Linked DNA regions of Arabidopsis thaliana. The protein of the gene in region 2 interacts with the protein of the main gene of each other region in a pairwise test. Each region holds a gene or a part of one and is shown on either strand. Other genes may lie near its edges.

Region 1 (5,282 bases), on a different chromosome or scaffold from region 2:
TTCTTTATTGGGCCTTTACGAATTAAGGCTTTATATTGGGCCTTTACGAATTATGGCTTTATATTGGGCCCGTTTTGAGATGTCGATTTATTTTTGAGTCTTGCGCTTGGGCTCGAATTTATTTTCTTAATCATAAAATTATTTTTATGCACTGAATAGTGGTACCTAGAAATGTCATTTGAACAAAAAAAAAAATGTCATTTTACATGTCTTTTGGCATTTAGATTATATCATTAAAAAAGTTGATGAAAAAAAAAAGATTATATCGTAAAAACAAATAATTGCAATATTTTGTTGAGATGTTTTACCAGTCTTGCCTTAATAGAACAGCAAGAATATATTATAAGTGAGTGGTGTCTCCAATCATATTAACCTAACGTAGTGCCTAATCTTACCAACTCTTAGTTGTATCTTTTACCATTTCAACAAATAAACAAACAGGTGTTAACTACTAGCATCGAAAATAAACACACAAAATAGTAACTGTGTTTTCATGTTTTTGAGTTATCTACATATACATTTTTGCAGCCACTATATGAAATAAATCTTCAAGTTGAGACTTATTTACAGTGGTTGTCACTGGCATTTAATAATTATTTTTGATAATTAGAAAGTAAATTTTCGAATTAAATATTTGACATTTAACTATCTTCTCAAAATCTCTCTACAATAACTACACGATTAGTTACTAAAATAAAACTTCTAAAATATTTAACATCATTTAAAAATTACAAAATTATCATTTTTGATATTGCTTTTTTTGCATGACTATAACAATTCCATTATACGCATCAACCCACATAGATATTTTATAGCAGTTAATTATTACAAAATTACAAAATATTTAGACAATGATTTATAAACATATCATAAATAAGATCAACATTAATAAAATAAATAGTTTTTTTTACTTAATAACAATTGTAAACTATAAAATAAAAATATTTTATAGATAGATACAATTTGTAAACTTTTATATATACTAACTTAAAAAAAAAAAAATTGTCCTTGCGGTATACCGCGGGTTAAAAATCTAGTAATGTCACATAATTGCAACAAATTCCCTCATTTCTTTCATAAATTTCTATATAAAGAAAAAAAGTAAAAATAAAAAAGCAAACTGATATAGAATTTAGAAAACAATTGGATTAATTGACTTTGTTATTCGGTTTTAGGAGGTTACTCATTTATCTTTCTTCTCACATTTGGTCGAAAGATACAACTCAAATCACCTCTCTAACAAAGATAAACTACTAACAAGAGTACAAACTACAAGACATAACAAAACAAAGTGGAATAGAAAAAAGATTTTGACCCGTTGACTAAAAATAAAAAATCTTCAAAACACAGAGAAGAAAAACCAAAAAAGAATTAGCCTCTAAAACGACGACGCTTTTTCAACGCTTTCCATTCTTTTCCTCACGTCGAAGAAAACGACCCATTTGTCGGAACAACACTCTGACGACTATCTCCTACTCCTCCTACTACTACTCCGCCGTTAGCTCTTCTAGCGCCGCTGCGTCCTGAAATCTTGTTGTTATGCATCCACACTTTGAAAACGCTTTTATCAACTCCAATCTCCCGACAAAACTCCTTAACCACCACGTCATCAGCTTTCGGCATCCTCCACCCAACTCTCTCCGAGAACTCGAACATCTTCTCCTTCTGATACTGACTAAACTTCGTCCTAAAACGTTTCCTAGACATTGGAACCGCCGTGTTAGCTCCTCCTCTTCCTCCAGAGAGTGCGAGAAGCATGTAAGAAGACGAGATCGGCGGTGGAGAAGCTGAATCATCGTCGTCTGGACTACGAATCCCCGCCAGATGAGGAGGAGGCGGTGGAGGAAGCTGGTGACGGTTGTGAGGTCGAAATTCGATCGCAGGGACGATGGCAGAGAGAGAAGATGGATCCTCCTCACGGCGGTGGAAGTTACGGTGGCAACCACAAGCAGCGCACGTTAGTGAAGCGGGGTCATTGGAGTTAAACGACGGTGACGGCATAAACTCGCCGCATCCGTCTAAAGCGTGACCGCCGATACCTGCTGCGTGATTCTTTAGACATTCTTTATAAGTCGCAACCGCAACCGCTTCAGATGCAAGATGATGGTGGTGGCAGCGTTTGCCGTTTGAGAAAGAAATAGGCTTCGCGGGCTGGATCCGGATCGGAGCTTCGATTTCGGGTTGTCGTGAATCCAAGTCGGATACTATAGTAGTTGTAGTAGCTATTACATCCATGACAACTCAAAACATTTAGGGTTTCGAAAAACAAGAAGAAGAAATGTTTTGTAAACTTGGGTTTTGGTTATTGTAATACAAATAAGATTTAAGAAACAAGAAGTATTATAATTTTCTAGAGATGGAGGAAGAAGAAGAATAGATGATAGAAGTAAAGATAAGGTAAAGATTGCACTAAACAAAACTGTTTTTAAATTGTAAACTCGAAATCTTTGGGATGGGTTTATGTATTTGGGAGAGATAAGATTAGAAAAGGGGAAATTTAAAACTATGTATTATTTACTCAAGTCTCTCATGGAGGAAGAAAGAGATGAGAAGTTGAAGACTGTTGATAATGAGAAATCCAAGTTGTGTGGTTGAGATTCATAATCATTATGTGTTTTTTTTTTTTTGGTTGAATATTTTTTTTTAACCATGGTTTGTTGACCCCATCTAGGGTTAATGAAAAAAGATAAGTGTAATAAATATAGGCTAATAAATAGAGTTCATAGAACAGCATCTAATGTGAGTCATGTCTTTTTCTTTTTGCTAAATTTGTATCTCCATGACGTTGACAACTTTAATAATATATACTCCAATTTTATATCAATATTAATCTTTTTTGCTACCTTTCAAATTTCAATTATTATTATTTCTCGTTATTTTTTTTTATTTTTTTTTCTCCTTATTTAAGCTGAAAATTTCGTGTGGAAGTAAAGCATGAATATAATTAAGGTTGATTCGGGTTGTTGATTCAATGATGTTAACTAAAGACAAAAGTTAATATTTCGTATTGTTGATCAAAAGCAATGTTTATCCAAAAATGTTAAAATCTCGACCTTCCCTAGTTTTATAGTTCATGGTTTGTCTTCAATCTTATGTCGAAAAAACTATCAACTTACAATCTTAAAAGTTACTCTACTACCAAATTTTTGCAAAAAAAACTATGACTAGCTTAATTTATTTACTTCTCAACTACTCCACTAATTAACTCAAAAATGTTTATTGACTATACATGTTGACGGTTAAAGTGGCCTTAAGAAAAGGAGACCACAACTAAAAAAGCTGACACGAGCAGTGGTGAAGAACGATGCCGTTTACTCCAAACTTCTTTAAAGCTGTATAAAAAAGTCTTTAATCAGAGAGGTGTAGACCAAACCTAAGATCGTTTGCAAATCCATTACTAATAATAAGTGATAAACTAACAATTCAAAGCAAAAACTCCATAAATAATTGATAGTATACCAATTTTTTTAGGAGATTTGCTAAAATATGACCGATAAATTTTATCAAAAAATTCAGACAAATTTTATGGAAGTTTTAATTTTGATGCTCTAAATCCAACGGTTGAATTCTCCGTCAAAATTTTGAATTTTAACGGGTTTCTAAAATGTCGTCTGTTTTCTTATAGTAGTAACGTAATTGTAAATCTCAACTCTTAAAACTTTTTCTTTCTTTTGACTAATGATGATATGAAATTGTCTAAATACCAAAAACAGCTAACACGCGTACATATCTTGCAACATGGCGCTACCTAATCAAACCATGTTCGTCTGTTATGGAAGACAATTCTCTTCTTCTCAAATACATTGAACTTTAACATTATACTTTAATTAATGTAGGTATATATTACGACTTGCACGACTTACCATAGCCAAAATAGGGAACCACCGTATCAACATTTCAAGCATTTAGATATAACTTGATTGTTGATTGGTCTTATTGTTACCGCACTACGATTATCTATAGATTTCATAGACAACAAAATAATATAACACATATATTATTGTTTTAGAAATAGTTATAAGGCTTTTTACTCTTTAGTTAGGAAGAATAAGGCAAACCGACATTAAATAAGCTTTATGCCCATAACAAGGATAATATTAATTAGTTTTTTTTTTTCAGGATATATTATCTGACGCAATTATTTGATGATCTATCTGTGATTTTTTCTTTCTTTCTAAAATCTATTATATGTTATGCCTGTATATGTTTTATATATACACATATCCTACTTTATGTATGTGTGCAAATGCAATTGGAAGGATTTATCATATACGATGAATGTATCGCATGGGTGGTTAGTATGCATTAATATGGACTGTTCTTAAGATTTGTGAATAAAGAAAAAAACAATGACATCTTCTTCTTCCTTTTTTTGTGTTATAAACGAAATGATTTTATTTTAATTGTATTGTTTTTGAATAGGAATGTGTAAAATTACAAGAAAATAATAATTCAAAAACTAAATATTGATGTGCATGGCAACTTGAGAAGTATTTGAGGAAACTTTAATGGCTAAAACAAGTTGGCTCTTGATTTCACATTATGCCAAAAACAAAGCTGGTTCGTCCATATATGATAATATGAGAGAAATTTATGTTTGAAATTTTAATTGAAATTTTAAACCCGATAGGATAAATATGTTTCTGATTCAATGAACGGATCTAGCCGCGTTGACGGGCCAGAGCCTGAGGCTTAGAATGTTGGCCCATTATTCGATGAGTTTATAACGGGCCGGGAAAACATTATCTCAGACTGTTACTTGTCTGTTTTGCGTAACACATATGAGAGAAACTCAGACTTGATTAACATCTATTTCCGAATAAAACTTGATTTGTTGAATCCAAACAAAGCCCTTCATCAAAATCCAGACAAAGACTAGAGGGAAACAAAACAGCAGATGTTATTGAATTGAGTGGTTCTGCTCTAAGATAGCATCATCTTTTACTCGAGAGATCACATGATCTAAAGGAAATGAAAACCACGTTTAGATTGTTGCAATCAGTATTCACGACTATGAAGCTGTCTTCAACTTAGTCGATTGAGCAGCTGCAGCTTTTGTGTAGATAGGGTGAAGAACATGACCACCTGTTGGATCAACATGAATCCATTTGCGTCCTGTAATCTTGCTTTTCTCGAACCTGACTCGTCCTTCCTTCAATGCAAACAGAGTATGGTCCTTACCAATCCCCACATAGTCTCCAGGATGAAACCGAGTTCCCCGTTGACGAACTATGATGTTTCCTGGTATCACACTCTGCAAAATCACACACACACACAGGCAA
Region 2 (4,801 bases):
AGATATAAGAAGCGGCTCTAGCGTCAACGCAGTCGTCCACTCCGTTAATACCTCTGCCGATCAGCTTCTCTGCCATCATGTTCAGCTTCTTTTCCATATCCTTACCCTCAGGAGCCAAGGCTGCCAGTCACTAATTATAGACATGTATATATGAAAGATAGATAGCTATAATTAGCTAAACTAGATTTAAAAGAAAGGTTAATTACGTACATGGTTGAAGGAGGAAGCTAACTTTAGGAGGGAGAGGCGTAGTGGCAGTTACGTAGTTGTTGAAATCAGGTTGACGAGCGTAGGAAGTCGTAGTGGAAGAAGTGTAATGAACATTATTATAAAGGTCTTGGGAAGGAGTTGGAGATTTCACAGCTTTGCAAAAGGGCATTAGCTTAGCTATCATGAACCCTCTTGATCTCCTTCTGTTCATCTCCATGATATTACAACTCTTTTTTTCTTTCCCGATCGAGATCTACCTGTAGCTGGTGTTTCATGCATTCAAACATAGTGTGTTGTTGCGTAGATATATATGGGAGGGTTTCGTTATGTTGTGACGAATACATGCAGGGAGATAGAGATATCAAAGACGCGTGGTCCTTCGTCTTGCAATAATATCACTCAGAAGCATAACATGTTGATGACGAGATCTCAACTTTCAGGCTCAAACAGCCACGACGACACATCTCATTTTACAATTTAAAATATATGATATATGTGTAATTATACAGTACAGGGTTCAATCCTTACGCACTATATTTACGCTCCTTAATTATCTATCTTCCGCGGTAGACAGATGATACGGACGATTTATGAGAAATATCTCGGAGAAAATTTATAAGATATATCTTGTAGTTCAATTAATAGATATATTATTCTCTAAGTTCTATATGAAATAATGGATGGCGCAAAGCCGCAAACTCTACAATTTCTCATTGCAAAACATATTTTCCCAATTGCTATATAAAAAAAGAACATAACATTTTTCCATTCAATGGGTTCGGAAAAAAGTGAAAGTGTTGAGATTAAGGAACCGTTATTTTATCCGTGTTTAATAAATTTTGTGTAACTAACTTTTTCGTATAACTTTTGAAAAGAATCAAGAAAATGTGGATAAGTTTCGATTTATGTAAGAATGTGAATTAATTTATTCGTGAGAGATTAATATAAAGAAATTCACAAGCGAATAACATTATCTTCGTGCGGTATTGTGGCGGCGGTAAATTAAAACGCAACAATTTGAGTTTGATAATTATTACGAAAGACTTAATTAGCTAAATCTGTAAAATAACATTATCTTCGTGCCGATGTCATCAAAACACTCTAGAATAGAAAAGGAAGAAAGCATATCTTTTGAGAAGATTCTGACTGTTATGTGATCTATATATATTCTGTTGCATATTTGCTTTTGTGTTAAATGGTCCAATGGTATAATCCAATAATATCACCATATTCCGGATGACATGGTCCTTGGTTCTTTTTGTAAAGATTTGGGCTTGTTGGGCTGACTTGACATTATGAAAAACACGAGAGCCCAGGCTAATGGGCCTAACAAAGAAAGCGTCCTCCGTTCTAAAGCGAAACGTGAAGCATATTCGCAATTGGATCCAAGAAGAAACCTCAAAGTTAGCTTTCGTACTCTTTCTCATCTTCATCTCCACAATATCCTTAGCTTGTCACTAGTTTTGGAATAATCGGTAGGTTTGGGATACATAACATTGTTTTTGTAGATGATAGACTCATCATTGCTTCTTTATGTTTGGTAATTTGATGATGAATATACTTTCGATTACAGGGCAGCCGAGACTAAGACACCAAAGCAGATGGATTCAAAGGTCCCATAAAGACAAAGATAAGGATTAGTATTTTTGAGATATGTGAGTTGCTGCTAGTTTAAAAGTAAAGGTCTGATGGTGTGAGCCCAACGTTTTTGGGAAAGTAAATATTACAATCCAATTCCTCTAATCATTCCTTCAAGCAAAAGGGAGGGAAGATGTGCATTTGTGTCAAGATGTGGTGGAAATTATCAGAGGGTTTATCAACGGCATGTGTATGAACACCTTGGTATGTCGTCACCACCACTCCTTCGTCTCCCCATTGCCTCTGCACTTGCTTCTTCACTCTGCATCCTTCTTCTGTGCACTTATAATAGCTCCTATATATATATATATTCATATTTTACATGTATGTATATGAGTCTCTTATTTGATCACCATAGCAAGCATACAGTATCATTCATTGATGATTAAGTACGTACCTGGGGAATGGATTGTTCTTGACTGCTTTTTGGCCGTACTTCCTCCACCTGTATCCATCATCCAGTATATCAACCTGGCTTCTTGTCTGGAACGCGTACCTCGCTTCTCTCTCTTTCTTCTTCTTCTTACTCCTTGGCTTCTCTTCGGATGATGTTGTCGGCTGAGCAGAGTTGTCGACCCCATGAAACTCTGTCAAGCGAGGATCAACCGATGATGAACATGGAAACAACACATCACACCTCCTATCCTCCATTTCTTAACTCCCTCTGCGTTTATGGTGGGAACTTGAAAAAAGCCAAGGAGGGGAGGGAGAGAAAGAGAGACGTACACGGTAGCGAAGATGCCAGAGAAAGTGATATATATTGAAAATATGGCTACATTAGCGGATCCATCACAGAAAAAGAGTTTTGTGGAAACAAAAAGGTGTGGCGGCTACATCATTCTGATTTATATTATTATATATGCAACTCCTTCAAATTTTGGTTCAATGGATTCAAATTTCAAACATATTTCTTGGTCAAGAATCAATATGCATCTAGATCTCTGAGGTAATCATTCTTTTCTTATTTGATTTACAATTTGGATTAGCAAGGTTTCCAAGATAATATCCAATATCACGTGTATTTGAGGTTCACCTACCAAACTTGATTGAATTCAATAAACAATGAGCTCGAATGATGTTGAGATTGTTGACTATTTTGGCTCTTTGCTTTCTTCTATACTTGTCAAAAGTATATAATCATTGATTCCATGGATTATTCATCCCTCCATAGTTATTCAAACTTGATTCATATTCACTTTTTACACACAACATAGAATTATAATAATACTAGGCATTGATCACATGTAGGATTTGAGACGGGGTCGCGTAAGGGACTGCGCTCCATCCACCAAGACAGTGGTGCCTGTCATGAAGCGTGAGCCATCGCTGATCAAGTAGATAACAGTGGAGTAGAGGTCTGTGTCCGGGTTGAGCCACTGGCCGAGGGGTGCAGCGTCCTTGACCAGCTTCTGCGCTCGGTCTCTTCCCACAGAAGCTGTATACTCATCATCCAGATGCAGCCCTCTAGAGATCATGTTGACCCGTATCTTGTGCTTCCCGAGACTCATGGCTGATGCCTGAAACCCAATCATCAACAAACATATTCAAGTTACGAACGCGATGTGTCTAATTAGGAGCTAGGATGCATACCCGGACGAGCTGGTGAATAGCGGCAGAAGTTGAAGCGTAGGCATCAGCGCCAGGGTAAAGCGCCCTCTCTCCGCTGGCGATAGTGGCCATGAAGACAATGGAGCCTCCTGATCCATGGTCCTTCATCCTTGTGGCTACAGCCTTCAAGAGAAACCATGGAGCGGTGAGATTGATCTTTGTGATTCTGTGGAACTCATCTTGAGAGACTTGAAGAATGTCCTGCACCTTTCCTGCAAGAAAGAAAGATTGTTGAATAAAGGAATGATCAACACACAAGAGCATCAAAGGCAGGGTAGTGAAAAACAAGAAGCAAATTAAACCTTGGTAGGTATAAGAGTTGAGAAAAGCATCGAAATGGCCGGAAAGTTCCCATGCCTTTTGGACAGCGGCATGAAAAGCAACTTCAGAGTCAGATTCCATGTCGAGTGCTATAACATCGGCAGGGAAGGCTCCCTCAATGGAATCTCTAATCTTGTCTACAATGCTCCTTAGGGAACCCTCATTTCCCATCATTACCAACCTAGCAACAGTACATTGCATTTTTTGAAGGTTAACTATAGACACCAAAGTCAACCACAACACAAATCGGGGCTAGAAGAAGAAACACAGGATAGGAGGAAAGAAGACAAAATGAGAGACTCACTTGCAACCGTGTTTGGCTAGATGGAAAGCGATGTTTCGGGACACCTCGTCGCCGTTGGATGTCATCAACACTCTCTTCGCCGGATTTTCCATTTTGCCAAAGTAACTCTTTATAAAACAATTCAGCAGATTCAACAAGACTTAAGGGAGGGAGGGAGTGAGATTGATTCGATCGCCAATTCTAAATAACTATAAAGAGTGGCTGCAAAAGCTCTTACCGGAACTGTGTCTGTGTGTTACCAAAACGGCGAAACAAAGCAAATAATTAATGCCTAACCACATGATCCACCACGTTCTGTTGTTACCTTCTTTAATTTGTAGATAGAAGAAGATGGTGATTGATAACGGAGATGTATTTTTTTCTTTAATAAAAAGCCCACTTCAAGGCCCAGATCCATTTCTGTACTTTGTAGGTTTTCCAACTTTCCCGGCGCCGGAAGCAAGCGTAAGTTATCACTGTTCCCCAACCAAATTCCATCATATCCTATTATCCTACTACTAATGGATCCATCTCCAAGATTCCTAATTTCACTTTGCTACAAACTTATTTCGTGTTTTTGGTTTATAATTAATAGCCGTTGTTGGTTATGAATATGTAAGCATAAAAGGCATTTGGGAGCTCCAGACAGACAATGAATCATCAACATCAGGTACTCTGTCTTTCGTTTATGTTTCTGTTCCATTCTTTTGAAATATATAGAGGAGGAACTTGTTATTAGCT
Region 3 (5,300 bases), on a different chromosome or scaffold from region 2:
TCAACGAAATATCAATCATCTCTCACCTGCTGGGTCTCACCGGAGCGGTAGAGAACATCCATGTCGAGATTATGGTTTCTAAAGATTGGATCGCTTTCAGGGTCACTAGCCAATCCGAGCAATTCATCCTACATTTCAAGTAAAAGTTCTCAACTTTAGCAAACCCAATCGATTTATAGCAAAAAAGACAAACACTTTTGTAATGAAAAACAGAGACAGACAAAACCCAGAATCCATTGTTAAAAGAATCGGAGCAGAGAGTTCAACAGGAGGTTTTGCTTCTCTAACCTGGAAATTCCAAAAGTGAGAGCCAACAAAGTTTGCGAATTCTCCAACTTGAATCGTCACAATTTCTCTCATGGTTGTTTGATTGGAGACTTGAAAGAAACTAAGCAAAAGGTCGGTTCTTAGCTCACAGCGTAAGAGACTAAGAGCTCCGGTGATTGCTTAAACCCTCGTCGAGCCTAGATTTGTAAAAGAGTTTGAGAATGTTGATGAAGACGGAGAGGCGGCCCCGTGAGGCCCAGAGACCACAAAACCACATAAATTGACTCGAAATAACCGGGTGAATAAACCGGTTGGGTTTAGAAACTGAATCGACCGAACCAATTTGAACAAATATTCCATTGCCGCTTAAATGTCTTTAGTATATACACTCATTAATTGTGAAAAGCAGAGAGTAACTATTTGAATTTTTGAATAAAAATAACAAATTTGAAGAAAATTATGTCAAAAGATAAATATCTACCCTATACTATTGGCTAATGTATGTTACATGGTGCAAGAAGCTTTATCCACAAAACATGCAAATCTCGTGGAAGTAAACTATTCATCAAATCACTAATCAGTGAGTAGATTTTTTCTATATACATTGTCAATTCCTTCAATAGTGAAAATAAATCTTGTCGTTTTTCAGACGAAAAATCTTATCTTTTCGTACGATTTTATGCAATAAAAGATTCTTATTTTTTTTCCCCTTACTTATTCTCTCAGATTACGTAGATTTGTAGAAAACGATGAGTTACAGAAAGAGACAAAGATTGTGATGTTTCTTCATCCTCTGTTTTCGAAGGTAAAAGGTAATTAGTATGACGAGCTGGTAAAACTAAACAAATGACTCCTTCATTCACATGGTTGAGACTGTAATAAGTATAAAAACAAAATCTTTGATATATGAGTTTATCTTACTTATGAAGTAAAAAAAAAAAAAAAAAAAAAACACAGAGGATTTCGAACACTCTTCTCTATCTATTTCCTCTTGCAAAAACAAACCCTACTTTTTGCTCAAAATCCTCTTCCTTATTTCAACTCTCATGTTTACATCTACAAAAACTCCCGAACAAACTCAAAGTTTTGAGCATATATAACATAAGTTGGTAAAGATTATATCATTCACTATGCAGACTTTCAAAGCTCAAGATCCAACACTTGTCTCTTCTTCTTTGTTTCATCATTTCTACAGCTACTACGTCCATCAGACTTCTCCTCCTCTTCATCCTCCTCCTCCTCATCTTCCTCTGAGCTATGACCAACATTACTACTGAACAACCCTCTTGCAACAAGTGGGCTTTGTGGCGAATCCGACCTCGACAAACTTATTAAGCTCTGCGATTCTCTCTCTAACACACCTGGCTGATCCGACGATGACAAAGTCTTTGTCGGATGCAGCGGATGCTTACGGATATGCATTCTATATTTCTGCAATAACAATTTCATTTCACCGCACTGTCAAAATCATTCATTCATCCACACATCAAAGTTTAAGTTACTGTAAAAGATGAGAACTTTTACTTGTAAATGGCTCTTGACTTCATCATTGGTTAAACCATCAACTTTCATCAAATCTCTAATCTGCTTTGGTGTAGCAACTGTCTCACAACAACAACAACAACAACAACAACAACAATACAAAACAATCTCAGTATAATCAATCAATCAAATCTAAAGCAAAGTTTGATCCTTTACTAAGGTTAAGGACTAACCTTGTGGCCCTCCAAGCCTATGAAGAGCATCAACAAATTTACGGTGAAGTTCCTGTGACCATCTCCTTCTCTGCTCTTTCTTCTGAATGTGATGACTCTGTGAAGAAGGTTTATTGAATTGATGATGATGATGACTCTGCTCAATTCTGCTATAATCCATCATCATCTCTGATGTTGGAGTCATGAGAGACAGAGGAGCTGGTGGTGGAGGAGGTGGGGGACGGTTAAATGGCATAAATACCCCTCCTTGATTAGGGTAATTACATGTCTGAAATGGGTTCTGACTCACACACCGATCTTCTTCTTCTTCATTTGTCTGTCAAAACATGATCATAAGGTCAACAAGATCAATCACACAACATATGATTCTTCACAAAACATAAAAAGGGTTGCTTTTTGATCGTACCGATCGGAATTGGGAATTAGGGTTCGAGATCCATAACTGGGCAGAGCTCATCCAGCTCTTCTTATCAGTTTCCGGTTTTGCCCTTTCAACATCATCGAATTTCCCATTAGATGCCATCAGTGATAACCCTTTTCTAGCCTCATCCTTCAACGCCCCAATCGCTACACAGAGAAAAACAATCTCTTTAAACAAAAACACGAATCGATTAGAGAAGATAAAAAAAAGAAAAGGAGAGAATTTTAATAAAAGATACCTTCGTTCAATAAGAGCATGCATAAAGGGAGTTCTCGTTTAAAAACATCGATTTTGTTCCTTTCTTCCTCTAATTTTCCGACATAACCATCGATTTCAGACAGTTTGGAATGATTGTCTTTGATCCTCGACACTTCATCGAGAAATTGAGATAAGGGTTTTGGTAAAGAGTAGATAGACAAATTCAGATTAAGACCCATCCTTTGATCGGTTTCTGTTTGAACCATCGGACAAGATAAAGACAAAGAGAAGCAAGCTTAAAGAGGTATATATAGAAGAAGATGATGAAGATGCTGAAGAAGATAAATGAGAACAAAAAAAAAATGAGATTAGGGAAGAAGAAGAAGGACGCGGTGAACCGTAGCCGCTGTAAATAAGTGGAGACTTGAGGGTGTTTTTGTCAATATTAAAATTAGATTTATCTTTAAATGGAAGAAAGAATCTTTTTGTGATGCCCGTACACACGCGGCGAATCGTTACACTCACTTATATATATTTATTCTTCTCTTTTTTTATATTTTTCTTTAAGGATTTTTTTCCTTTTAATTCGGCTATTAATTATATTACAATTTTCAGTTTTGGGAAACTTGTTATTTATTTTGTTTTTAGTGCTCTTCTCATTCAAGATTCTCATATTCCTGTTATCCTGTATTTAATATTTTCCCAAATTAGTCTTAAAAAGAGGATTCTGAAGAATCTATAATATTTTACAAACACTATTTTCTGCATATGGAGTGGTTCAGGCTGTGAAATATCCCACTAAAATATTTATTAAAGATAATATAAAAAGAATCTGTTGAAAGACTAAAAATAAAATAAAGCAACTCAATTATTGGATAAAAAATTAAAAATAAGGAATTAACAAAATCAAACTATAACTAAGAAAGATCAAATTTATTTGTACAAAATTAACAATTTTCTACTTTTTTAAAGAAAAATCAAATTTTATTTTCCTACTTTAACAATTAAAAGTAGATAAGTTACACTTTTTTGGAGTAAAAAATTACGTTTGAAATAAAGAAGATTTAGACTACAACAAATATTGACTTTTTATAACCTAAATGTTATGAGCTTGAAAGTTATACATTTATAGTCAACATGATATGAGATTAAATGTTGAATATAAAAAAGGTATGTACCACATAGTACATGTAGCACATCGTCAGAAATAACTTTGCTAGACCAACAATACCGAATGGGCATAACCGTGTATGGCCTATGGGCTATGGATTCATGTATTTGTTATTGTATCTCAAACACAGAGCTATACTGAAATCTCGGTTTCATGGAATTCGAACCACTCGTTTAAAAACCGATAAAACATTCAAACTATACAATCGGGTTTAATTAAACGATGTTCTTAGATAGGCAAAACCACATGTACGTTTATGCAAGTAGTACGATACATAAATTCGTACTTCAGTTTGTACTACTATCATATAACTAGACTAAATTAGTAGAGCCGTATAAATAATTAATCTTTACTAGTATAGGACATATTCGCTTTAGTTTATCTTTTCGAATAGAAAAATTATACTAAATTTTGCTAAATTTTACTAAAAAATTATACTAAACATTTTACCCGGAAAAAAATTATACTAAATTTTGCTAACACAAGCTACTAGCTGTATTAGAAATCGACACATACGTATGTGATTTTAAAAGAGTGAAGTGGTCAAAAGATCTCTTTGTCTTTTCTTTATTTTTACCACACGCAACGTCCATTTACATTCACGGTGAGCATTAGTTTCAAGAAATCACGTAACCTTTGTGTTTATAAGTGCCCTTTTCATGGTTTAGTTGGTTTTGGTTATCGTATTATGAATATTTTTGTTCATTTCAGTGTTGATATTCTTTTCAAGAAACTAGGTTGATCATTCTTATGTAGCACCATTATTTCTTGCAAATTATTCCACTACTCATCCATTTTTTTTACTAATCAAAACTTATATCGTTCAAAAGGTGAATTATACTTAATATTATTATATGAAATAAAACTCAAGAATTCTCTAGCAAAATGAGAAAAAAGGATCTTTCGCATAATCCAATGTAAAAGATCCCAGTACGCAAAGCTACTTTATTCCATGCTTTTTCCTGCTAGCCAAATACAAATTTCTTTCAATTTTAAAATAGCATTCAATTTTTTCAAAATAACATTTGATTCCTCTAACAAAAAGATATTCCGAAACACAGTAGCATGTAAAATGCCTAGGACCTATAAACAATAAAGACCACAAGGAATCTAACGGACGGACCAAAAGAAACGGCTCACTGTTAGCCAACTATACCAGGACACGTGTCCAACTAATCCAGATTCTTTATCATGAGAATCGTTTTTTTCTTTCAAGGAGGAACTGAAACGTCTCGACTTTGTTTGTAATAAAGACGTCGAGATTTTGATGCCGTTGATTGATTAGATTCTCGATCGTGGGTTCGCGACACGTGTCCCTAACTTTTTTTGTATTATTGTTCTTAACAAACGATGGCTTTTGCTCTGTCTAGCTAATTTGAGGATAAGGTTCTTCTTCGTTTCTATCTGCCAGAATCCAATGATGTCTTTGGTTAATCTAAGTAAGAATCCCATGGGTTGATTATTTGGTTTTCGTTTCAGTCATATAATTTCGAAATTTTAGAATTTTATAATATTTGTCATCAATAAT

The links. Proteins that work in one complex are often made in the same cells at the same time.
Region 1: the proteins of WRKY45 (region 2) and HB30 interact in a two-hybrid assay, tested with the Arabidopsis thaliana proteins (one large-scale study listed by BioGRID).
Region 3: the proteins of WRKY45 (region 2) and AT4G37180 interact in a two-hybrid assay, tested with the Arabidopsis thaliana proteins (one large-scale study listed by BioGRID).

What each region holds. Positions count from the first base shown.
Region 1 is NC_003076.8:4,936,455-4,941,736, forward strand, and holds HB30 (homeobox protein 30), read right to left. Parts: upstream 2,754-5,282; 5' UTR 2,236-2,753; coding exon 1,420-2,235; 3' UTR 1,011-1,419; downstream 1-1,010. Other genes in the region: AT5G15220 (Ribosomal protein L27 family protein), read right to left, coding at 5,012-5,254. UniProt on the Arabidopsis thaliana protein: Putative transcription factor.
Region 2 is NC_003074.8:324,661-329,461, forward strand, and holds WRKY45 (WRKY DNA-binding protein 45), read right to left. Parts: upstream 2,753-4,801; 5' UTR 2,500-2,752; coding exon 2,246-2,499; intron 2,144-2,245; coding exon 1,954-2,143; 3' UTR 1,292-1,953; downstream 1-1,291. Other genes in the region: AT3G01960 (uncharacterized protein), read right to left, coding at 1-120, 211-427; AT3G01961 (uncharacterized protein), read left to right, coding at 521-691; AT3G01980 (NAD(P)-binding Rossmann-fold superfamily protein), read right to left, coding at 3,087-3,365, 3,439-3,958, 4,082-4,173. UniProt on the Arabidopsis thaliana protein: Transcription factor. Interacts specifically with the W box (5'-(T)TGAC[CT]-3'), a frequently occurring elicitor-responsive cis-acting element.
Region 3 is NC_003075.7:17,502,215-17,507,514, reverse strand, and holds AT4G37180 (Homeodomain-like superfamily protein), read right to left. Parts: upstream 2,952-5,300; 5' UTR 2,868-2,951; coding exon 2,642-2,867; intron 2,571-2,641; coding exon 2,389-2,570; intron 2,299-2,388; coding exon 1,983-2,298; intron 1,869-1,982; coding exon 1,792-1,868; coding exon of another isoform or gene 1,735-1,791; exon of another isoform or gene 1,699-1,734; coding exon 1,408-1,698; 3' UTR 1,011-1,407; downstream 1-1,010. Other genes in the region: AT4G37190 (plasma membrane, autoregulation-binding site, misato segment II, myosin-like, tubulin/FtsZ protein), read right to left, coding at 27-128, 289-360.